Linked DNA regions of Lonchura striata. The protein of the gene in region 1 interacts with the protein of each later gene in a pairwise test. Links are inferred from orthologs where the notes say so. Each region holds a gene or a part of one and is shown in the gene's direction. Other genes may lie near its edges.

Region 1 (7,749 bases):
CCTGCTGGCATCTCCTCAGCGTTCCCTGGACTGGGTCCCACTGGTGCTAGCAGGTCAGGAACAAACCCCTCGCAGGAAACAGGGAAATAAAGGAAAGCAGAAAAGAACAATTTCACATCCAGGAATGGAAATGACTCAGGGGCATTAAAATGCAGGGAAGATGAGAACGAGGAGGGTCCTGGCCCTGTTTTCAGCCACATTTTTCCCCTCTCAAAATTCCTAAGAAGGGGCTCTGTGAAGATGCCTGTGGCACCACTTCCCAGAGTGTATGATTGATGAAGAACTGTGGCAGGAGTCTCTGGAGTGGGGATGTGCCCTGGGTTATCTGTATGGGATCTATAGATCAGCTGCAGAAGAGGAAAGAACCCAGGAGAATGTGGAGGAGAGGGAGCAGGAGCACTCCAAATTTCTGTGATCCTTACTTGGGGCAGATCCAGCATGCCCCTGGAAAAAAGGGGAATCTCAGGGATCTGACTCTGGGAGAGACACCTGAGGTGTGGAGGAGCTGGCTGTCCCCAGAGAGATGGGACAGGTGGGAACAGTGCTGCATTCATCTCTTGGGGATGTCCCCAAAAGCTTCTTTCAGATGGGATCAGTCCTGGTCCCCTCATTGCTCCAGCTGTGTCCCCACCAAGCCTACCAAGGTTTTCCCCTGGGTGGAGAGAGATATTTCCATTCCTTCCTCCACTGAGGAAGAGCCATATCAGTCACAAAGCAGCAACAGGATTAGGGGATTTGGCACAACCAGGAGCATCCCAATCCCACCCATGCCCTGCCCAGTCACATTGAGGTGTTCCCTCTTGGAGTTTTGGGAAGGGAATTTGCTCTGTTGCACAGCAGCACTCCAGGTCACACATTTCCAGGGGGATCAGACCTGGGACAACCCAAAATGATGCAGATTTCAGAGAGAGGACAGGGAAGATGAGCTGGCCTCAGGCCTGGCAGCTTGTGGGGGTATCTCCAGGAGGATAGGATCCCTCTGGGTGGGATGGTGGGAGCAGAGCAAGGGCTGGGGTGCTGCCTTGGCTACCTGTCCCTGGGGATGCAGTTCCCTTTGGAGGCAGCCTGGGCAATCCTGGCACTGGGAAACAGCATTTGTGCAATTCCTTGACCTCCAGCTCCTGGTTGCACTTTGAATCCAGAGTTCGGGACAGAAGCAGGTACCAGGAGGAAGCTTTATCAGGAAGATTGCCATGGAGAGGTTTGAGGGGTTCAGCATGGTCACGGGACACTGCCAGTGGGGCTCACTGGTCACGGGATGCTGTCACCACTGTCACCATCTCCCCAGGAGATGTGCTGAGGCTGCAAACCTCCTCTCCATCCCAGGCACCCACCTCTGCCCACAATGCCCCAGTTTTCCAGGCTCAGCACGGCTGAGGGCTGAGGCATTTTGGGAGCCTGAAGACAGCCGAGGTGATCTCATCCCACGAGTATTTTCTTGGCTCCCTCTCCTCGCTCCAACGCCTCGGCGATAAGGCTGGGCTGAGGTCAGTGGGAGGGTCTGGCATTGCGGAGCCGTGTGTCACCCCGCGGAGCCTGGGACACGGCACCGGAGCCTGGGACACGGCACCGGAGCCTGGGACACGGCACCGGAGCCTGGGACACGGCACCTGCACCTCCCTGGCTCCAGCCAGACACCGAGTCCCCACCCCAGCCTCCAGGATGCTCCACCTGGGAAGAGGGTCCGTGCAGGCAGCCAAAGGTGCCCCCACCACTGCCCACAGGTCCAGCTGCTGTTGTTTCACCTTCTCCTGGGGAAAACAAAAAGGTTGAGGCTTTTCGTACCTCCAGTATTAGAAAGAAGGAGAGGGAACTCTTCAGATCACTTTCCAAAGGGGTCTTATCAGCCCAGGAGGGGTTTCCTGCTGCCAGGAATAGAGCGGTGTTAAGATAGGAAGGGAAGGATGACACAAACATAGATAAAGCTGGGGGACGAGCCAGGAGAAGAATCCTGGCTGCTGGGGCAGCTGGGCTGCTCCCTTGGAGCTCAGGTAGGAGCCCCATCCACCTGGGAAAGAGCAGGGCAGAACCACAGCTAGGTCCTTTCGGAAATGCCACTGCTGGGCTTGGTATATTGGAGTGGTGCATCATCCATCCATCCATCCATCCATTCATCCATCCATCCATCCATCCATCATCCATCCCCATGGTGCTGGGCCTGGGCCCGTGTTTCCAGACTCTGCATGTTCCTGGGGACACAGGGACAAGTGCTGTGCTCTCATCTCCTCCCCACATGAAACTAGACCCTCACTGGGTCTTCAGGGTGCCAATTCCCACATTTCAGCCTTCATCCATGAGGATTTGACTTGTCACTAGGAAAACTGGGCTGGAAAACCTGTTTCTTGAACTTCCAGGTGCTCCTCTTCCTCCAAGTACCGACTCCATCTCTCTGCATTTTCTTTCCATGCTCCCCTGCCTTTGAGTCTGGTACCTGCTGCACATGGGAGATTTATTTATTTCCCCATTTTTTGGGAGATAACCCAGAGGTAGTGAGTTGTGCCTGCAGCCTGTGCCTGCTATTGCACCCTGGGTGCCCCAGGGGTGATACCAGCGTGTGATGGAGCAGGAAAACAAGGAGATGAGGCTGGAGATCCCCACATCCCTCTCCCCACATCATCCTCCCGGCTCTGTGCCAGTCAGAAGATGCCGAGTTCCCTCAAAAGAATGGGAGCTTAATGTCCCGGAGCTAATAAGCAATTTTCCCCTGCACCTGCCTCTCCCCGCTGCCTCCCCTCCGGCCATCTGCTGTCTCGGGGCCTCTGGACTCTGCACTGACAGCCTGGGGCGCCCGGGGCTGAGACGGGGCTGGTGTTTCACTGCTCTGGGGCTGGGGGTGCTCAGTGTCCCCCCAGAGATAAACCGGGGTGGGTTGAAGGGGGAATTCGGCCCCTGATGGTCTCCTCCATCCCTGTGTCCCCCCAGGGAGGTGGGTGGCAGAGCCCAACAGGGGAAACTGAGGCTGGGAGAGCAGCAGGGGCACCCAGACACGAGCTGGCAGGAATTGCTGCATCCACAGCGAGCTGGCAACCCCAGCCGGGGGGGTGTGAGGATGGAGGACACAGGAGGGAGGAATGCAAGGAGGGAGATGTGAAGAGGAGATGCAAGGAGGGGGAAGGTGAGGAGGGGGGATGAGAGATGGGGGATGCAAGAAGTGGGATGTGAAATACGAAGAGGGGGACATAAGGAGGGGGATGTGAGGGAGGGGGATGTGAGGAGGAAGACACGAGGAGGAATGTGAGGTGGAGAATGAGAGGACAGGGGTGTGGGGGGGGGGGATGTGAAGGGGGGGATGTGAGAAGGAGGATGTAAGGAGAGGGACACGAGGAAGGGGGATGAGAGGAGGGGGGATAAGAGGAGGGGAGATGAGAGGACACAGAATGCGAGGCGAGGGGGATGCGAAAAGGGAGAATGTAAAGAGAGGGGTGCGAGAAGGGGGGGCCCGAGGGGGCAGAGCAGATGGGGCCAGCAGGCTCGGGGTTGCCCCGGCCCCGCAGACAAAGGCTGGGGCAGATTTACGGCCCGGGACAGCTGGCGGGCAGAGCCGCCCCCCCGCCCGCAGCTGCCGCTCCCGCTCCCGGCCGCGCTCCTGCGCCGGCGGCGGCCCCGGGGCGGAGCGGGGCGGGACCGGCCCCACATTCCGGGCATAGCAAAGCCCGGCCCGGCCCCCGCGGCTCCGGGACGCTCAGAGCCGCCGCAGCACCGCTCCGCTCCGCCATGCCCCGGTGAGTTCTGCCGCCGGGACCCCCCGGCGCCGGGAACTCCCCAGCACCGGGACCCCCCTGACCGGCACCGGGACCCCCCGAGCGGCATCGGGACCCGCCAGCACCGGGAATCCCCCGGTACTGCCGCCCAACCCCCCCCGGCACAGGGAACCCCTTAGCATTGGGACGCCCCCGACTGGGATCGGGACCCCCGACCGGCACTGGGGTGCCCGGATACGGAGAGGCCCCTCGGGGAAAGGACGCTCCCCCGGCACCGGGAATCCCCCAGCAGGGATCGGGACCTCTCTCGGCAGCGGGACCCACCCGGACCAACAATCCCGGGACCGAGACCCCCTTGGACCGAGATCCTCCCGGCCGAGACTGGGACACCCCTCTGGGGCTGGGATTCTTCGACCGGGATCGACCCCCCCTGGCCCAAGGAAGCCCCCAGTCGGGACTGGGATCCCTTCACGGGAGCCGGGACCCTTCTCCCTGGGATCGGGACTCACCCCCCCCGGCACCTGGACCCTCCCGGGGAAGACCCTCTCCCATACCGGATCCACCCCCAGGGACTGGGAACACTCCTGGAACTCTCCCAAACGGGACAGGAACATCCCCACGGCACTTAGAGCACCCCCCCTTGCCCCACAGAAAAGTCCCAGGACCCTCACCGAGACTGGGACACCTCTGCAAGTCCAGGACCTCCATGTCCGGGTCTGGGGATGGGGTGGTCCCACCCATCTCCCGGTGGCTCTGTGCCCGGTCCCGTGGGGCTTTATCCCCCACTCCCGGGCCAGTGCCAGTCCCGGCTCCATGGGGCACCGGCTCTGGAGGCAGCCCCGGCCCCGGGCTCGCTGACAGTGCCGGTGCTCGGCCACCCCAGTGCGGGGGCTGCTCCGCTCTCCCGCTGCCGCCACGGGCTCCCACCCCTCCGGCACGTCCGGGCCGCATTCCTGGCAAACAATCCCGTGTCCATCAGGATCCGGACTCTCCTGCCCCGACTGCTTCGCAACAACCCCGCTTCTCCCTCTTGCAGGTGTCTCGGCGTGCCCAGTTGCTGTTGAGGTCCCGCGGGACGCCCCTCCCGGGTGGAAAGGTGGCTCTGCCGGCGGCACGGACGGACATGAGGACGGCGGAGGACTCGAACGGGACGGTGCTGCACCGCCTGATCCAGGAGCAGCTGCGCTATGGGAATCTCACGGAGAACCGCACTCTGCTGGCCATCCAGCAGCAGGCTCTGCGCGGCGGCGGCGCCGGGAGCCCCCGCTCCTCGCTGGAGAGCCTCAGCCCGGAGGAGAGCCAGATGGTGCAGCAATCCACGCGGCAGGAGCCGCAGGGCCAGGAGCATCACTCCGACCACGTCTACTTGGAGAACAGCGTCTATCGGCTCTGCCCGCCCAAGGGCGAGGAGCTCCCCAGCTACGAGGAGGCCAAGGCGCATTCCCAGCTGCTGGCCTCGCAGCGGGGAGCGGCGGGCGCGGGGCTCCGGTTCGAGCCCGGTCCGCGCGGGGCCGACAGCGGCGCCCGGCGCCCCGACGAGGCGCTCAAGGAGCTGAAGCACGGCCACGTGCGGTCCCTGAGCGAGCGGCTCATGCGGATGTCGCTGGAGAGGAACGGGGCCAAGGCGCAGAGCCCCATCAGCGCTTCCCACAGCTTCCCGCAGCTCTCCCGGCAGCTCGTCCCCCTGCGCGGGCAGCACCCCGAGGGCACGGAGCCGCGGGGACCGCCCCCGGAGTATCCCTACGTCATCCCTTCCCAGGACGCTTACCTGGCTGAGCCCCGACCCTGCTCCCGGGAAGGTCCTGGATTTCAGCATCCTGAGATCAGGTAAACTCTGGCCCCTGGGCTCTGCTTTTGGATGCCTCCCAGGAATGTCCAGGATGGATGTTTGGAACTTGCAGGATGCGAAGGGCAGTGGGGGCCCAGAGCAGCTGCTTTTGTCCTCACTGGCACAGGCCATGGGGGGTCTGCCGGGAGCACCCTACTCTGCTCCTGTCCCCAGCTCCCCCAGCACGGCTGGGCTTTTCCAACCAGTGACGAAAATCCCATTCCCACAGCAGACCCTGCCTCATCCCCATGCACCAGGAAGGAGCTGGGGGTAACTTAAGGGATAATCTAGGAGCTGGAAGCAGCCCAGGAAACAGATAAATGTGGAATAGGTATGGGGCAGGGTGGAAAACAAATATGGTCCCTGCTCCACATGTCATGTCATGGTCCTGAGCTGGGAATGTCCATGTAACTTGGAATTGCTGCTGAGCAGAGCCTGGGCTGGTGCCAGGTGGTCTGTGGTTCCTTTGGCAGCTCAATACCTCTGGCAACGCTCCAGGGTGACTGTGAGATGGACATCTTGTGGTCCAGACATTACCTAGAATTTGAGAAGGACTGGAAACAGCCTCTTCCATTGTGGAAAATGATGGGAAGAAGGGAACTGGTGGCTCAATGTGAGGACACACTGCTCCCAGCCCTGCTGATCTATCCAGGCAGAGAGTGATAGCATCTCCAGCAGGAAAACCTTCTCCTTCCAGGGAACAAAGAGGGGAAGGGGAGCTGCGAGGAAGATGTATTTATTCTTCCTTGCTCCTATATCATCCCGCAGGAATGCGGGCCCTTGGCGGGCAGCCCGCAGGGGAGCACAGCGGGGCCGGGCCGTGCACAGCCACCCTGCTCAGGGTATTCCAGGCAGGATGTTGAGGTGGGATGCTGCAGCAGTGGCACAAGGGGCAGCCAGGCTGGCCTGGCTCCTCCAAATATAAAAAGGATGCATCCATGGTTTGGCAGTGAGGACCTATGTCAGGAATCTTTGCTTTGCATAGAAAATAAGGAAAAGGCTGGCTTCCAAGGTGCATCCTATGCCAGGCTGCCTGCAGCATTGCCAGGAGGAGAGGGACCTGGGGGGTTGGGAGCCCATCCAGACCCACTGCCCAGGTCCTGGAGGGGTCAGGTCAATGCATCCCTGCACGATGGGATTTGTGATTAGAGAGCGAGCGCTTCCCAGTTCTAAAAAAGCAGGATAGGCACTTCCACCTCCTTCGAGATGACTTGGAGGCACTGGCACGTGCTCGATGGCATGCTGGAGCTGCAGCCAGCCCTCCCACCCTGCCAAACCTTGACTCGCCCTCCTCGCTCTCTGCAGGGTGCTGCCCACCTCGGTGCCGGCCGCGTTCCTGCCGCTGTGTCCGGGCGCGCTGGGTCCGGCCGGCGTGGAGGCCCTGGTCAGCGCCCAGGCGGTGTCGGCCGGCAGCCGCCTGGCCCGGGCAGACGCCGTCCTGCGGGAGAACGAGAGGCTCCAGCGGGAGAGCGAGAAGCTGCGGCGGGAGCTGGAGAGCTGTGCCGAGAAGGCGAGCCGCATCCAGAAGGTGAGGGAGTGGTGGCAGCTTCCCGTGTCCCTCCTGCCCGGGGCGATGCTCGACCAGCTGCCGTGAAAATTCACCCCCTTTAGTGATTTAATCCTTTCTCCTCCTCCCTCTGGCGGCTTGTTCCCCTCGGAGCAGCTGCAGCACGGCAGCCGGGATTGGGGAGAAGGAGCCCATTCTCCAGTGACCCTCTCCCTCCGCCTGTCCCCCCATCCCGGCCGCCACAGAAAGCCCTTTGTGTGGCCGCGTACAAGGGGCGGCTGTTCCCCGTGGCTGGGCTATGGCAGAGCCAAAATCCGTGGAGAGACTCTTCCATAAGAGAAAAGCCCGAAAAAATCAGTTTTCCCCCCCAAAACATGTGCTGGGGGCCTACTCGGGGTGCACTGAGCAGCTCAGTTTGGGCTGAGCACCCTGGCTGGGCTTTGGCTGGCATCTCCCTTTCCTCATTCCATGAATATCTAACCCTGGCTTGTCCCTTCCTCCACCCCAGCTGGAGAGCGAGATCCAGCGCATCTCAGAGGATTATGAAAATCTTGTCAAGGCGTCTTCCAAGCGGGAAGCCTTGGAGAAAGCCATGAGGAACAAGAGGGATTGTGAGATGCGACGGCTGCAGGATTTCAACCGAGACCTGAAAGGTGAGGGGACCCTTTGTGTCCACATCCCCATGGGTGCTCTGTGTCCCTCAGCTGTTTCCA
Region 2 (7,634 bases), on another chromosome or scaffold:
CCATCTCCTGACAGATGCAGCAGATCAGCTCCGACTCCACCAGACAGGTGCATTTAGGGATTGGCTCTGCTCTGCACAAGGAGAGTGGGTCACTGCTTGGAGGGAATACCTGGAGAATGGCAGGACCTGAGCAGAAGTCCAGGCTGATCCCACCTTTGGTATTTTTGGAGGTTGGGCCACCTTCCCTTGGCACAGGGGTGATTTTTCCCTCTTTCTGAGTGCAGTTCTCCTTCCAGCTCCTTCCCTCAACCTCCATCCAAGGGAGGTGGGGAAGAGAATGCAGGGCTCTGCTCCCTGGAGCAGCCTCTGCCATCAAACAGCCCATTTTGCCAAGTCCAGGGCAGTTCTCACCTTTTCTCGCTTTTCTTTGTCGCTGTTCTCATCCAGCAGGATCTCAAACATCTTCTGCACCCTCGAGTCCGTGGAGAACTGAATGCGCAGCTGTGCCAAGAGAGAGAGCACAGAGCATCAGGAGGAGAAAATCGAGGAGCAGCTTTCCTTTTTCACTTCAAGAATACTCCCTGCCCTCAAACCACAGGCAATTTAAGCTGAATAACAGGAGATAGAATTTCTCAGCAATCAGTATCCATTACCCATCTCAGGGGCACAGGCAGAGCCAGCCCTAAGGCTTAATTTCTGAGACTTCACAGTAGGTAGCGATGCAAGGATTTCTTCACAGCGCCCCTCTAAAGGCAACTCTAGCAATGTGGCAACTGCCAGACCCAGCCCAAAGTTGGTCCAGACCCTTGCCAAGACCTTTGCAAGACACTCAGAACCAGGCCAGCCTCAGGAGAGAGTTGCCACACTTTTAAATTTAACCAATCAACCCAATCCTCAGATTTACACACATCAATTATGAACTTCCAGTCAATGGAGCCTATTTATCACCTTATATTGGCCACGAGTTTCCAGTATGACCAACAACCCATTGATGCAACCCAGAGCAAGGATTTCCCACCCCTGGTCTGTGAATCCAGCACTGTTCCCCTGGCATTTACCTTCTCCTGGATGTTGGCCCCCAGTCTCCTCAGGGTCTCCTGGAAGTTTTTGTTGCGGGGTTCGAGGGTGGCACATTTCTGAGCATCTTTGAATGCTTGGTCTAACTTCCCCAGTTTTTCCAGGGCTTGGCTGCGCCGGTACAAGGCTTTGATATCTGAAGCATTGATGTCAATAGCTGGGAAAGGGATCCAAAACACCAGGCATCAGAGCTTGTTGCTTGGAAATGGCCTGTGCAAACTGTGATTTGCTTTGTTATTAGCATCAATCAGTGCCTCATTAGCACTGATTGCACCAGCACACCAAATCAGAACATCATTTGAACTTCCAGGAATTCCCTTGTGGCCTCAGCACTTGGCTGTTAGTGGACATCAAGGAATAAGGCCACAATGTCCCAAAAGCAGATGTGAGAGCAGGCTGAGGAAATGGATCCAGCTCTCCTCATAACAACCCCCTCCTTACCTCTAGATGCATCCGAGGCTGCCTTGGCATATTCCTCCTGTTAAACCAGAAAGGAGAGATTTGTTAGCCATGCAATAGCAGGGCATGTCCCCATTGCTGATGGGCATTGGGACCTCTCTGTTCCCATTTCCCAGGGGGACACCCCAGTGAAGCTCCAGCACAAGCCCAGAACATTTCATTTCAGACCAGCTGGAAACACCCTATTCAATAAATGGACAAACCACCCAGTCCACAGCCAGTGAGTGCCCTTGGCTGCCCTCCTGCTCTTCTCCCCTTGAGCACTGCCCAGGTGAGGGGAGCTTTTCTCACCTTTTTGAGGAAACAGGCTGCCCTGTTCCTGTACAGCACCGCCTGCAGAGCCTTGTCCTTGTTGAGCTTTATGGCTTGAGTGTAGCTTTGAAGGGCTTTCTCATAATCATTGGCCTGAAAATATTTATTGCCCTCCTCTTTCAGCTGAATGGGATCCTCCATCTGGAGAGCTTGAAGGAAAAAACATCCATTTGTGTCCCATTTGCCTGGGTTGCCTGCTAATCCCCCAAGCTGAGTTCCACCATGAGACTGACACATAATTAACACACATTAATAAAAGCAGCTTACCAAGCCAAAGAGTTTTGAAAATGAAGACCTAAATTGCTCCTCAAGGCTGTGACTTCTCAGAAGCTTTTTCCACCAATATAAATCCTTAGAAGTAAATTAAAAAAGAAAGAAAGAAAGAAAGAAAGAAAGAAAAACAACAACAAAAAAAGGAATTAAAGAAATCTGCCAGCACTACGGAGAGTCTGTGTGGCTCAGGACAGAGCTCACTTCCCACTCCAAGTTTGGGCAGGACCTGGCAGCTCCTGCTGCCTGTCAGTGTCACTTGTCACCACAGCCTGTCCCCTCCTTGTCCCCTCGTGCTTTATACGCCTGAGGAGGGCTGGGAGCCAGGGCCAGCTCGGGGGGCACCTGGCTGCAAGCAGGCAGCACCCCTCTGCAGCAAGAGGGAATCCTCTCCCACCTGCCAGGGCAAATCCCAGCTCCCCTCTGCCTGCAGAGCTGCAAAGGGTGTGGGGAGCAGGAAGGGGGAGGTTCACGCCAAAAAAACCCACGGCTGGGATGGCTGACCCCTGTCACAGTGCTCAGACCCTTTTCCCATTCTATTTAGGGAAGCATGAGACAGCTGAGCCTCAGGGACAAGTGGCCCCAGGCCAGCAGCTGCAGCAGTGCCCAGCACCTTCCAGAATTCCCTGGGATGGAAAGCTGACTGACACCCAGCGCTGCCTCCTCCTCCTCCTCCTTGCAGGGCATTTGGGAGCCCATCCCACTGGAAATCCCACCCCAGTCTGGTGCTGCCACCCACCCCACACGTGGTCATTCAGCCACACTTGAGGTGGGCTAACACAGAGGACTGGGCTGGAACATACTGGAAGTGCTGTGAGGAGTGGCTCAATTTGAGTGGCACCAGGAGACAGCAGCACTGAACTCCAAGAGAGCTGAACCTTTCAACCCACTCTGTTCCCCAGGAATTCTGCTTTTTGATTTATCTTCCCCTAAACACAGGCCTTGCCTTCACCTGCCAGCATCCCAGCTATAAAGCAAAGTGGGGACTGCCAGGATGGGGAAATGACTGAGGAGAGCATGGGCTGATCCAGACACTGCCACGAGCAAAAATATCATTGTCTTTAATTGTGTTATCTGTGTTATGGCTTGTGGCTCTTATGCAGAAAGAATTAGCACAGAACTTCCCTGTCCAGGCCTCCTGTTTTATTCACCCCACACCAGCAGCACTGCCTGGTCCCTGGTGTACAGGCAGGAGGCGATTCCAAATCCATTTGTAAATCCTTTCACAGCAAAGCATCAACCACAACTGCAGGCAGCTTCATCAAGAGCAGCTCCCACATCTATACCTGTTGGAGAACAGGTCCAAGGTACAAGGACAACATCTGTGGAAAGTGTAAGATGCCATCCCTGCCCTGGACAGACTCAGTGCAGTGGCTTTTCCAGCATTCATTTGGATTAACACACCAGAAACTCCTTCCAACATGGCTTTAGGTACTGGCCTTTCTCACGTCAGCCAGAGTACAGCTCCATTGCCACAAGCGGCATGGCCACAAGCGGCAGCACTGCAGGCAAACCGAGTTACAAAATCAAATGTTGGGTGCAGCCGCTGCTCGAGGCAGAGCTGGGACTGCAGGGCAGGCTCAGCAGCGAGTGCCGAGAGCCCTCTTCAGGCCTCGGCTGGAAGGAAAAACATAATTATAATAAATACCCCCAAAAATAGTTTTCCCAGGAGAAATTCAAGCCTCCAGGGCAGCCAGGGAGGGACACATAGCTCCCAACACCTGTATGGCAGCAAAGTCCCCAGCCCTTCGTTCGCCTTCATTTCCCAGCGAGCAGCACTGCCTGATGAGCCGGGACAAAGCCAGTCCCGGGAGTGTCACAGAGTCAGCATGGTTTGGGTGGCAAGGGACCTTAGCGCTGTGCTGATCCCGGCGAGAGCAGGGGAACCGGAGCGGGGTGGGACAGCCGGGCCGGGGAAAGGGAACCCCGGCGGGATGGGAGAGCCGGGACAAGGAACAGAAACCCCGGCGGGATGGGAGAGCCTGGATGGGAAAAGGAAACCCCGGTGGGATGGGAGAGCCGGGCCGGGGAAAGGAAACCCCGGCGGGATGGGAGAGCCTGGATGGGAAAAGACAACCTTAGCGGAATGGGAGAGCTGGGACGGGGAAAGGAAAAAGGAAACCCCAGCGGGATGGGAGAGTCGGGATGGGGAAAGGGAACCGGAGCGGGATGGGAGAAACGGGACGGGGAAAGGAAACTCTAGCGAAACGGGAGAGCCGGGACAAGGAAGACAAACCCTAGCGGGATGGCACAACCGGGCTGGGAAAAGGAAACCCCGGCGGGATGGGAGAGCCGGGACAAGGAACAGAAACCCCGGCGGGATGGGAGAACCGGGACAAGGAAGGGAACATCGGCGGGATGGAAGAGCCGGGCTGGGAAAAGGAAACCCCGGTGAGATGGGAGAGCCGGGACAAGGAAGAGAAACCCCGGCGGGATGGGAGCACCGGGACAAGGAAGGGAACCCCGGCGGGATGGGAGAGCCGGGACAAGGAAGGGAACCCCGGCGGGATGGGAGAACCGGCACGGGAAAAGGAGCGGCCCCGGCCTTTCCGCCGGCGGCAGGAAGCAGGAAGGAGCGGGCAGGGCTGCGGGGAGCCCGGGCCGGGTAAGCTCCGTGGGGCTCCGATGGAGGCGGCTCGGGATGGAGGCGGCTCGGGATGGAGGCGGCTCGGGATGGACGGTCCTCTTGTCCCGGGATGGAGCCTCCCCGCCTGCTGTGCTTCCCTGCTCCCAGCCCCGTGCAGGATTTTGGGCTGTTTGGCCCCAAAGAAGAATTAATTACCCACCGTAACCACCCATCCCAAACACAGCTTGGGTGGCTTCTCCCCGGCTTCAGGGGCAGGCGCCATCCGTGGCTCAGTGTTGGACCTGGCGGTGCAGGGTTGGAGTTGATGATCTTGGATGTCTTTTCCAGCCTTAATGATTCCATGAATCCCACTCCCCCTCTCCTCCGCAGGTCTCTGCTCTTCTCCCTCCCGGTGGCGATGGTGGTCCTGCGGGCTGGGCTCTGCCCTGGTCTCTCTGAAGACATGATCCAGCTTCTCAGCGCCAATGGCATCAGGACAGGTAACAGCGTGGCATCGGGGTCTCGGCTTGGGGAACATCATCCCCCGTGCATTTGGTGGACCTGTGTCCTCCCACATCCTGGGAGGGTGGTGGTGGAATATCCTTCTGTGTCCTCCTTGCTGGATTTCTTCTGGGTCCTCCTGGGTGGATACTGTGAGTGAGGACTTATTCAAAGGAGCAGGAGAGTGTAAGGACGTGGTAAGAGATACCTGCAGAGGCTCTTTGAGGAGTGATAATTTGTGGCTTTTTTTTGTGGTATTTCAGGAGGGTTTGTGCAGTTTTTCCTCTGAAAAATGCCCAACTTCTTGGAATGCTGTACCCTGGGCACCTCCTGCCCTTAGAGGAGAAAGAAAAGGTGCTGGGCAGCTCTTGAGCAAAACGGGGACAATTTTTACCAGCTTCTCTCTCTGCTCTGTTTCACAAGAAACAATTTATTTTGTGATGAGTGATGGGGCCATCTCAGAGGAAAAACTCCTCCACTCACAGTGTTGACAGAGGGCACAGCCTCTTTGCTTGTTGGTGCAGGTTTTGTCTAAGCTGGTTGTCTTCTGGTGTTTGTGGTCTGACCATGTTTGGCTTCCAACCTCTTGTCCCTTATGTTATTTGCAGTGGTGGACTTCGTGTCATCAGACCTGGAGGATGTTGCCCAAAAGTGTTCCCTGTCTTACAAGGTAGAAGGGACTACTCCTCACTCCTGGTACATAAACCAGGGAGCTCAGAGCTGTTTGGCTCATGGACAAGGATGGGCTTGTCTGGGAGCCCTTCTGGAGCACTTGCTGGCTGTTGATCAGTCCCATTTCCAGACATCCCTCTGCCCCCAGGCGCTGGTCGCAGTCAGACGTGTGCTCCTGGCCCAGTTCTCTGCCTTCCCTGCCAACGGAGCAGACCTCTACGAGGAGCTCAAGAGCTCCACTGCCATCCTGCCCACTGGCAGCTCAAGGTGGGGACCTCACCCACCCACCAGCTCTGTCTGGGGCTGGGTTTGCTGCACAAGGCTGTGGTTGCCAGCACAAGCTTTGAATTTTGTTCTCCAAACCATCCCCGTGCACCTATGTGCATTTGGGAAGGCGACTTTGAGGACAAATATCTGGGGACTGCTGCCTCCTGATGCTCCTGCCATTCTGGCTGAAGGGGTGTTGGTAATCCCACCTTGTGTCCATCCCACAGCCTGGACCAGCTGCTGGACTCGGGGCTGTACACAGGGGAAGTGATGGAGCTCATGGGAGCACCAGGCACTGGGAAGACGCAGGTGAGCGGGGTGGAGGACAGAGGAGAGGACAGGTAGGGTGAAGATGTCCCACAGAGGGACACGTGAGGCTGGCTGACACCCTGTCCCTGTTCCCCCAGGTGTGCCTGGGCATTGCAGCCAGTGTGTCCCTGGGGCTCAAGCAGCATGTTTTGTTTCTCGACTCCACGGGGGGTTTCACTGCCTCCCGTCTCTACCAGATGCTCCAAGCCCAGACAGAGGATGAGGAAGAACAGGCAAGTTCCCCTGGAGCTGGTTCCTCTGCTTGCTCTGAAACTCACTTTGCTTTTGCCTGCAAGAAACCCCAGAGATGGTTTGTCTTTCCAGCTCTGCCTTTGTCCTCATGGGCTTTTTTGAGTCCAAACCCTTCCTTCCATGGCCCAGTGGGTGCCATGCTCAGGACAGACTCTGCTCTTTGTTGTTTTTCTTGGGAGAAGGGAAGGACTTACAGGACTCGCAGGACTTTGCTCCCTGAGCTCAGTACATGTTGCTTTTCCATCAGTGCCATGGGGGCAATGGTGCTAATGGGGTGGAGGCAAATGTGGAGGAATGTGGCATGGTGTGAGTGCAGAGAGCTTGGGGCAGCTGGGGCAGGAGGAATAGGCCAAATCCTGGGGGGACTGAGGCTGTGTTTTGTGCTGCAGCTGGAGGCCCTGCAGCGGGTCAGGGTAGAACGTGTGTTCAACATCTACGAGGTGCTGCGTGCCTTGCAGGAGCTGCGGGATCGCCTCTCCCAGCAGGTAGGAGTGAGCCTTGGGGCCCCTCTCCCCTCCCCAGAGCTGCAGGGAGGGCAGCAGGGCTTGTGTGTGCCTGACAGGTGACTCCAGATTGCCTCATCCTGGGGATGTCGGAGCCTCTGTGCAGCTCACAGCCTCCAGAGCTGCTGGATTTGTGACTCCACGTTGCACCTGGTGCCTCCTTGCAGGTCGTGAGCTCCATGGGACCTCTCAAGGTGGTGGTTCTGGACTCGGTGTCGGCTGTGATTTACCCTCTGCTGGGTGGCAGGCAGTCAGAGGGTGAGCTGCTCACTGTGGGAGCTGCTCCTGGAATGGGGATTGGAACAGGGTAGATGTGGATGTGACTGCTCCCAGCTTTTCCCTTGGGACTGGATAAAAGGGGGGGGCCTGTTGCAGTGTTAGCAGCAAACACTTCAGCTGGCTGTGGCTGCTTGTGGCAATGGTCTAAAACTCATCCAGGGAGGCACTGGACTCTGCCCACAAATTAAAACTTAACAGTGACAGAAATATATCATGGCACAGTTTGC
Region 3 (7,974 bases), on another chromosome or scaffold:
AAGATAGCCCATTCTTCTTGCCATTGCTTCCAAACCCATTCCATGCACAGCACTGAACTCCGTAATTATGGCTGGTGGCTCTGAAAATAAATACTCCTCTAAACATTTGGCCACAAGAGCGATGCAACTAAATTTCCTGTTGATATAGGGCCAGTAAAGTGGATACTTATGAGACATTTCCTTATGTAATGCGTAAGTTTTATTCTCTCGTTCAAGCTCCGCACGGATTCTCCCGCGGTGCTCACACGGCAGGGCTGGAGGCAGCTCCGTTCCGAAGGCCGGTGGTGGCCTCTAGTGACAACCAGGTAGATCCGCACGGAGCCCGCTGCCTGTCCCCGCTCCTGCCGCTCCTCCGGGGCTCCTGCGGCTGGGGAACAGCTTCTACCGGGACATTTCTGCTGCGGTGTTTGTGCAGTGAACGAAATTAGCAGTGCCAGACTCCCTCCAGGGGAGTATGCAGACGGATTTTCGGCCCGTTTCCTTTCTTTTGCTTTTTTGGTATCTGCTTTCCTGACACAGATCTTGATGCTGGGAGGGTATTTTGGGTTGTAAGCAGCCCATAGCTTGTTCCTGGTTGTACAAACCCCGGGAGTGGGGATGCTGTGGGATCGCTGGGATGCACTGAAAGGATGATATTCCAGAGAAGTCCCCAAACAAGAAGCTGCAGCTACCCAGGCACTCCTGGCATTATGAGTGTAATTTTACCCTGGGGAAAAAATTGAGTTTTTCTTCTGATTTGGGGGCTCAAGGTGTGACACAAGTGAGATCCCCAGAACCACAATTTTTTTTTTTTTAAGTAAGCAAAAAATCTACACGGATATGAACATGTGCAATACAGTGTGGTTGTACATATCTTTTACAGTGTACAATCAGTGTGTACCTATTTGCACAGGGCCGTGAAAATTGTATTTGCCTCCTGAATCACAGAAGTATGCAATATTTTTCATGGATACTGAACTACTCCAGCATTATGGAACTGAGAGAGTCAGTAGGATGGTATTCTCTCCAGTTCACTGGTTTTCTCTTTCCCTTGATACTTCAGTTGCACAGGGTTTTTCCAAGGGAGAGAGCTCTGCCAGCAGTCCTGTGTTGGAGTTGATCTTAATGGCACTTTTGGGGAAGAAAAAAGAGAAGGTTCGTTTGTGTGGCCTGGAGCTGTTTTTGTTGGCACTGAGATCTGATTCTGTTCAAGGAGAGCAGCTGAGACAGGAAAGGCAGCTCCTGACTTTCATTTTCCACCTGTGGCTGGGGAGGGATGGAACCCACACACTGCCTCATGCACCACTCCAGGAGCTGGAACACCTCTCTAAGTACCATAAATATGTAATGTTTTAACTTACCCCTCTGGTCAAAGCTCCAAGCAGAAAGAAATAAGATGTAGTGGTTTGATGACTGAGATATTTTCATTGGACAAAAGATAAAACGGAGAGGGAAATGAGGGGAAAAAAATACGTGAGGCAGACAGTGTAAGATCTTGAACTGCAAATGTTCAGGGCCTAGGTGAATCCAGCTGAGTTGGTGACATCATCCAGAACTTTCTCTCCTCTGATCCCATTCAACAAAACACAAAATACCTTGCTTTGCTCTTTGGAGAGAGCAGGCTTCACAGGCATTGGCATTAACAAGAGATGTAAGGGTAGTTAAGAAAAGAAGGAGGGGAATATCTCAGACCCAGAAATATTGAATACTGGAATAAGGCTGGAACACTGAAAACAGAATGCTTCTCCCCTGAGAGCAGTTTGCATAGCAATGTCCTTTCAGGACTGTAGCGTAGCTCTTTCAGAATCAAACCCTTATGATATTAAACCCAAACACAGGGGTTAACAGGGACCAGCAAAAGGGTGCTAGATTTCACTCCTAGAATGGATCATCTCTACTGACTGAACTAGAAGACTTTGCTTTATTTCAGTCTCTATGTCAGCCAAAAGAAAAGCATCTGTTCCACCTAAAGGCAGCAAAAATGCAGACCCATAGCTGGGTGTGTCTTTTTTCCTTGAACTCTCCAGACTGGTTGCCCATGGCTGGTTAGCACAGGTGAGTCAGATGGAATGGCATCCACATTATCAGAGCCCTGCAGAACTTATCTCCATGGCCTTCTAATGCACATTAAACTTCTGTCACACAGGTGACATTTCTTCATTAAATCAAACAAATCATTAGTGTTGCTATAAATGTTTTATTACATTTATAGGCAATCCACTCTGACCAAGGACAACACTGAAGGGAAGTGCTACCTGTGAACACACAGATTGTGCTTTACAGCTCCCACAAATGAGTCTGGAGCTGAAACTGCTCTGCTGAGCTAAGCACCAGCAAACTGTTACAGCACTTCTTCAATGCTGACCAAAATTGCAGTACTGGACAATGTATTTTTAGGTTGCCCAACATCTCTTTAGATAACTTAATCTTACAACCAAAAAAATAAAAAAATAAATAAAAATGAGGCAGCCATGTTCTTGCAGAAAATTCCTGGGCATAGTCCAGGAGTGGAGGACGCTGAGGCCACTCCCAGCTGACGCCTTGAGGAGCCCCTCACCCTCCAGCCCGGCTGGGGCCTCGTCCTCCTCCCACTGCCATGGCTGCAGCTGCAGGGCTCCCTCTGGCAGTTTCCACTGATTGATACAACCAGTCAAGATACATCTCACGGAAAAAAGTGTACTGAACCAAAACCAGGAGCAAACCCCACCTCTGATGTTGATCTATCCTGATCCTAGCAAGTATTCTTGCAAATATTCTGGCTTTTTGGGGAGGAAATGATAAGGCCAGAGAAATTGTCCGTGAACAATTGAGGGATGAGAATAAAAAGAACACTAAGAAAATTCAGCTTTGTATCTTTTCACGTTGGGTTTGCATGATGCCATTGCTCCTTGCTTCCTCTTGCATGCATCTTGGATGCTTCTGCTGAACAGTCCATAGGAAAATAATTGCTGGAGATTCAGCTTCTAAAAAAGCAGCAGAGTCATAACACAAGGCAAATGTCTGACCTAAGCCTGATGGTCACCTTCATTCAGATCACTGACTTCTTTTTTTCATTTGTTCACATAATAAAAAGAAATAGAACCTCCAAATTATGTTTAAAACAATATCACCCAGGTAACATGGAAACTAATTTTAATACTGAGAAGAAAAAGCAGAATGTTTGCTCTTAAACAGACTGCCACACAATCCTGCAGAGATCTAGGCAGTGAGATACAGAGCCAAGGAATGTAAGACCAGCAGGATCTCTTCTGTACTCCTCTTACAGTCGAAAGATGTAGAGTCTGCTCTACTAAAATGAGCAATTCTTACTCAGCCTGAATAATTTCAATGGAAAAATGACAACCCACCCTAAGTCTCTGTAGTGACACGCCAAATGTCATGGCCACTGTACTTTGGTATCATATCTCATAAATGTTTTTTTATTACAAGTTACACCCAAAGAAGTTCAAGGTTCAAAGACACTCCACAGCATCCTCTTGGAAAGAAAAATCCTGCCCTGCACACTGATTGCTTTGGTTTGGAAGCTGTGTTTCCAGAACAGCCAAATATAAGAGTTTAACTCTCTCTCGAGTCAAGACCAGTTAGATTAATGCCTAGCATAGTAACTTTAAAAACTTGGCAGTACTGATTCCCTAATATATTGGGTATTCCCTAATACCAAACTATTCTGGTTTGGGTGCTCTCCAATACACGTTTCAATGCCTCCAAAGCTCTGTGTCTCACCAATTTCCTTGCCCCAAGCTGGAATATCAGTAGGTACAGCAGCTGCTCTCACTAACACAAGCCATGTGTGTTCATTGTTCTACCTGAAAACATCAGTAGCACACATAAGCACTGTCAGTGCAATGCCCCAGGAGCTGCACCTCCTGCCACCCACTCTCCTGCACCACTAACAACCCCTCAGCAATCAGGTTTTTCCTTTGCTTTACAAATTCTCCATGCACTTTCTGCATCAAGGGTACTCCACAGTTAGCTCAGGAGCATCCTCCACACGATCAGCAGCAGGATGGTTGAGTCTCTTCATGCCATGGAAAGGCAGCTGGTTTCCTGTTAATGACCACAGCCCCTGGGCTGGGGACAGACCCCCCAGCATGGTACTTGTTAGCTGATGGTCTCTGATGAGGCAGGAGGGAAACTTGTTTTGCTTCAACTTCAGCCACACTGGAGGGCTGGAGGGTCGTTCTACTGGAAGCTGGAACTTAACACTTCCTGCCAATCTATGGACCTCAGCATTTCACATGTGAAACAGTGGGCTGTGAAGGCTTCCAATATTCTCATTCCTCCTACCTTATTTAAATAAATATTCTTTCCACTCAATCTCAGCTGTACTGAAAGCTCAAATTCAACTTGCAATGGTTTTCTTATACCAGACAAATGTATATTCAATCCAAGCTGATGGCAATAGCCTCCACTCTTCACTGACAGTGCAGATGTTGGTTTGTGCTCACTATGAAATGAATTCACATGGTAGTACAGCTGCCTCCTTTCTAATAATATATACACTGTTCTAGAATGTCCTGAGGCCCAAGTTATTGCTTACTCAACAGAAATATAAATATTTTAAGTCTCTTTTCACATATAAGCAACTCTCATTTTAAATTCATGCACTGCATAGGGGGATAAGAACCTACTCATTTGTTTCAAAGGGCTACAGAGAGGGTTGGCTGCAGGTACATGGTTATAAATTATTCAACAGATCATTTTTTGTTTATCTGTTATACAAAATAACAAAGCAAGCAAACTACCCAGGGAGTGTTCCTCAAACACAGACGAACAGATGAGAACCCCTTCAAATTATGGGGAGGGGGGGGGCAATATCCTGTGTGCTCTTTGTACTGATATCAGTGACACTCTGCGTCAACATAGGTGGGGTTTCCAGCCATTGTGCTTCCTCTTGGACCTGTATAAAGGTGCACAGTGCACACTCAGCTCCTGACTGGCATCTCAATCTGTGCTGATTTACCTGCTTCAGTCTAGAAGACAAAGAGCACAAATGGCATTCTCCACCCGCAGCATCCAGTGGAGTACGAGCAGCCGTGTCCAGCCCTCTGCACCCAGTGTCAGTAGTGTGACCTCCAGGAAAATGTCCATCCAGAAGATCCAGGCACCCAGTGTCTATGGGGGAGCTGGGGGCTATGGCACCCACATATCAACCAGCACCAGCTCTGGCCAAGGCCTCAGAGGGAGCCTCCAGCTCAGCATCACTGGGAGCGATGTGCTGCTCGCTGGCAATGAAAAATCAACGATGCAAAACCTGAACGATCGCTTGGCTGCGTACCTGGAGAGGGTGCGCTCACTGGAGAAGTCAAACTCCCTGATTGAGAGGCAGATCAGGGAATGGTATGAAAAGAACACCACAAGCATAGGGCAGGACTACAGCTCCTACTTCAAAACAATTGATGAACTCCGAAACAAGGTAAGAGGTCATAAAGCCCTCCATAAATATAGGAATTGCAATTATCAGTGAGATAGAGAATAATCTGTTGTAGAAAATGTACTTTTCCAAATTCGCCTAGCTGGGAAGAAGTTTATTTTTGATCAGCTACATATTAGTGACAGATTTTAGATAATTTGTAATACCAGTAATTATTCATAATATGCCTGCAGTTGTGAGCAATCTCATACCTGAAAAAATCTGTGACTCAAAATTAACTAGTTCTATGATATTTGCCTTAGGTGGCTTTAATTAGAGAAAGTACTAATGGTAATCTACATATTCAAATATATTTTAGCAACAGTCTATTTCAAAGTGGTTTATTAGAAAAGAAGGGCAAGCACTCAGAAAAAAATTAAAGACCACCACTTAAAATAGTAAATTACCACTGGAAACAATGAAATATTCCAAACACTCAACTGACATGTTTGTCAAATCATGTTTCCAGAACTTTCTTCAGTCTTTTCCCTTTTATTTTTTATCAGTTCTACTTCCCAGCATTTAAAAGCAGATACCTTCAGAGAACAGTTCATCCCAACTATTCAATACACTTATTTTATAGCAGGACAATTTGTCTTTTGGACATCCCTAATTCCTTTCATGCACTTCAGATGGAACTTAGCTTAAAGCCAGCGGACCAACAGACAGCTGAAGTGAAGGAGGATGAAGCCTACTTACAGTATTCATTCCCAGGAAAGGATCAAGTGTGAATTTCTGTGCAAAGTTTCATTGCTTATCCACCATTCCCTTTAGATTTCTGCTGCCCAGATGGAAAATTCCAGACTTGTCCTGCAGATCGACAATGCCAAGCTGGCTGCTGATGACTTTAGGCTGAAGTAAGTTCCATGATTTTATATCAATTCTCTTTCATGATCCTCTTATTTAGGAAAGCTTCCACTTATTGGAATCAGTGACAAGAAGTGAACATTTTCCAACTTTAAGTTTAATATGACTGTGGTTACTGATTCTAGAAGCGGTTACTGATTCTAACATTTACTCCAAAGTGTTGCATTCCAATGATGACAAAAGGCACTGTATTGTACAGGTTTGAGAATGAACACCTGCTCAGGCAGAGTGTGGAGAGCGACATCACTGGACTGCTCCGTGTCCGTGACGACCTGACTCTGACCCAAGCTGACCTGGAGTCCCAGATTGAGAGCATAACCGAGGAGCTCGTTTTCCTTAGGAAGAACCACGAGGAGGTGAGAGCAGCTGACCACAGCCAGGGAGAGGGGCTTTGTGTGGCAAACACAAGCAAGCTCACTAGGAAGCATTTCTATCCTTTCTGGAAGCAGCATTACCATGTGTGACCCAAAGGGACATTCAAGCTATCAGGCATCAAAGGCTGAACACTCCTCCATTCCAGGAATGAAGGAGTAAAGGTTTTCTCTAAGAAAAATTTATGGTTCAGGAATTGCTACCCCAAAAAGTACACAAATGGGAACCATGACTTCTGTCCTCATTCCACAGATTTGTTCTGAGGAAATCATTTTTATGATACATTTATCTATGGTATAACATTTATTGCTATCAAGTAAGTGAACTGTTCTGCGAGGTGCACTAAACAGTATTTACAAGGTGATTAAATTGTCTTGCCCCAAGATACTATTAAGGATTAGTCCTATGTGTGTAGATGTTGAGTTTGTGCCCAATGCCCAGGAGTGAGAGCTCCCTGCAGCAGGTGCTAACACAGTCCCCATTGCTGCAGGACCGTGACAGGCTGCGCAAAGAGGCGGGCGGCTCTGTGAACGTGGCGGTGGATGCTGCTCCCGGCATTGATCTCGCTGCTATTATGGAAAACATGAGAAAGCAATATGAAGAAATGGCAGAAAAGAACCGCCAAGAAGCCAAAGAACATTTTGAAAAGCAGGTAAAGTCCACTGCTTAAACACCAGCAAGAACATTGGTCATGCCTGGCTGCAGTTCACAGTCCCTCTATTCCTCATTCCAGACAGCAGAACTGAACCAGGAAGTTGCCCTCAATGTTGAGCGGCTGGAGGTCCAAAGGAAAGAGATCACGGAACGGAGACAGGTCCTCCAGAACCTGGAGCTGGAATTACAGTCCCTGCTGACCATGGTAAATAACAAAAAGCAAGATAAGGACTGTAGATATCAGAGAGTTACATAGAGGTGTAATAAACAGAGGATAAAAAGATAAATAGAGGAATCAATCAAAATGTTATTTACAATCAAAATGAATAATATGTCAATGAACATGTCACTGTTCTTCCCATGCACTATAGAAACAGACCCTGGAAGGCACTCTGGCTGAAACGGAATCACGGTACAGCTACCAGCTTGACCAGATACAGGCAGCAATTTCCAGTCTGGAGGCTCAGCTGAGGCTGCTCCGAGCTGACATGGAGGCTCAGAACAGTGAGTACAGCATCCTGCTGGATGTCAAGACTCGCTTGGAGATGGAGATCGCTACATACCGCCGGCTGCTGGAGGGAGAGGAAAGCGGGTGAGCACACACATGGCTTTGCGTGTTGGTTTGGGGTGAGCACACACATGGCTTTGCGTGTTGGTTTGGGTTTCGTGTCAAATCTGCCTCTCTCCAA

What was found.
Region 2: the proteins of AMOTL2 (region 1) and RAD51D interact in binary tests that used the Homo sapiens proteins (3 or more experiments, as listed by UniProt). The two-hybrid records come from large-scale screens. The link is inferred for Lonchura striata from reciprocal best matches to the Homo sapiens genes AMOTL2 and RAD51D.
Region 3: the proteins of AMOTL2 (region 1) and keratin, type I cytoskeletal 20 interact in binary tests that used the Homo sapiens proteins (3 or more experiments, as listed by UniProt). The two-hybrid records come from large-scale screens. The link is inferred for Lonchura striata from reciprocal best matches to the Homo sapiens genes AMOTL2 and KRT20.

The regions. Positions count from the first base shown.
Region 1 is NC_134612.1:5,558,353-5,566,101, reverse strand, and holds the start of AMOTL2 (angiomotin-like protein 2), read left to right. Parts: upstream 1-4,742; 5' UTR 4,743-4,824; coding exon 4,825-5,528; intron 5,529-6,834; coding exon 6,835-7,057; intron 7,058-7,544; coding exon 7,545-7,689; intron 7,690-7,749. UniProt on the Homo sapiens protein: Regulates the translocation of phosphorylated SRC to peripheral cell-matrix adhesion sites. Required for proper architecture of actin filaments.
Region 2 is NC_134622.1:6,004,107-6,011,740, forward strand, and holds the start of RAD51D (DNA repair protein RAD51 homolog 4), read left to right. Parts: upstream 1-4,632; 5' UTR 4,633-4,663; intron 4,664-5,014; 5' UTR 5,015-5,042; coding exon 5,043-5,124; intron 5,125-5,733; coding exon 5,734-5,795; intron 5,796-5,945; coding exon 5,946-6,064; intron 6,065-6,291; coding exon 6,292-6,373; intron 6,374-6,471; coding exon 6,472-6,606; intron 6,607-7,014; coding exon 7,015-7,110; intron 7,111-7,295; coding exon 7,296-7,386; intron 7,387-7,634. Other genes in the region: UNC45B (protein unc-45 homolog B), read right to left, coding at 352-441, 999-1,174, 1,459-1,495, 1,768-1,929. UniProt on the Homo sapiens protein: Involved in the homologous recombination repair (HRR) pathway of double-stranded DNA breaks arising during DNA replication or induced by DNA-damaging agents. Bind to single-stranded DNA (ssDNA) and has DNA-dependent ATPase activity.
Region 3 is NC_134627.1:6,792,123-6,800,096, forward strand, and holds the start of keratin, type I cytoskeletal 20, read left to right. Parts: upstream 1-4,972; coding exon 4,973-5,395; intron 5,396-6,166; coding exon 6,167-6,249; intron 6,250-6,458; coding exon 6,459-6,615; intron 6,616-7,121; coding exon 7,122-7,283; intron 7,284-7,364; coding exon 7,365-7,490; intron 7,491-7,656; coding exon 7,657-7,877; intron 7,878-7,974. UniProt on the Homo sapiens protein: Plays a significant role in maintaining keratin filament organization in intestinal epithelia. When phosphorylated, plays a role in the secretion of mucin in the small intestine.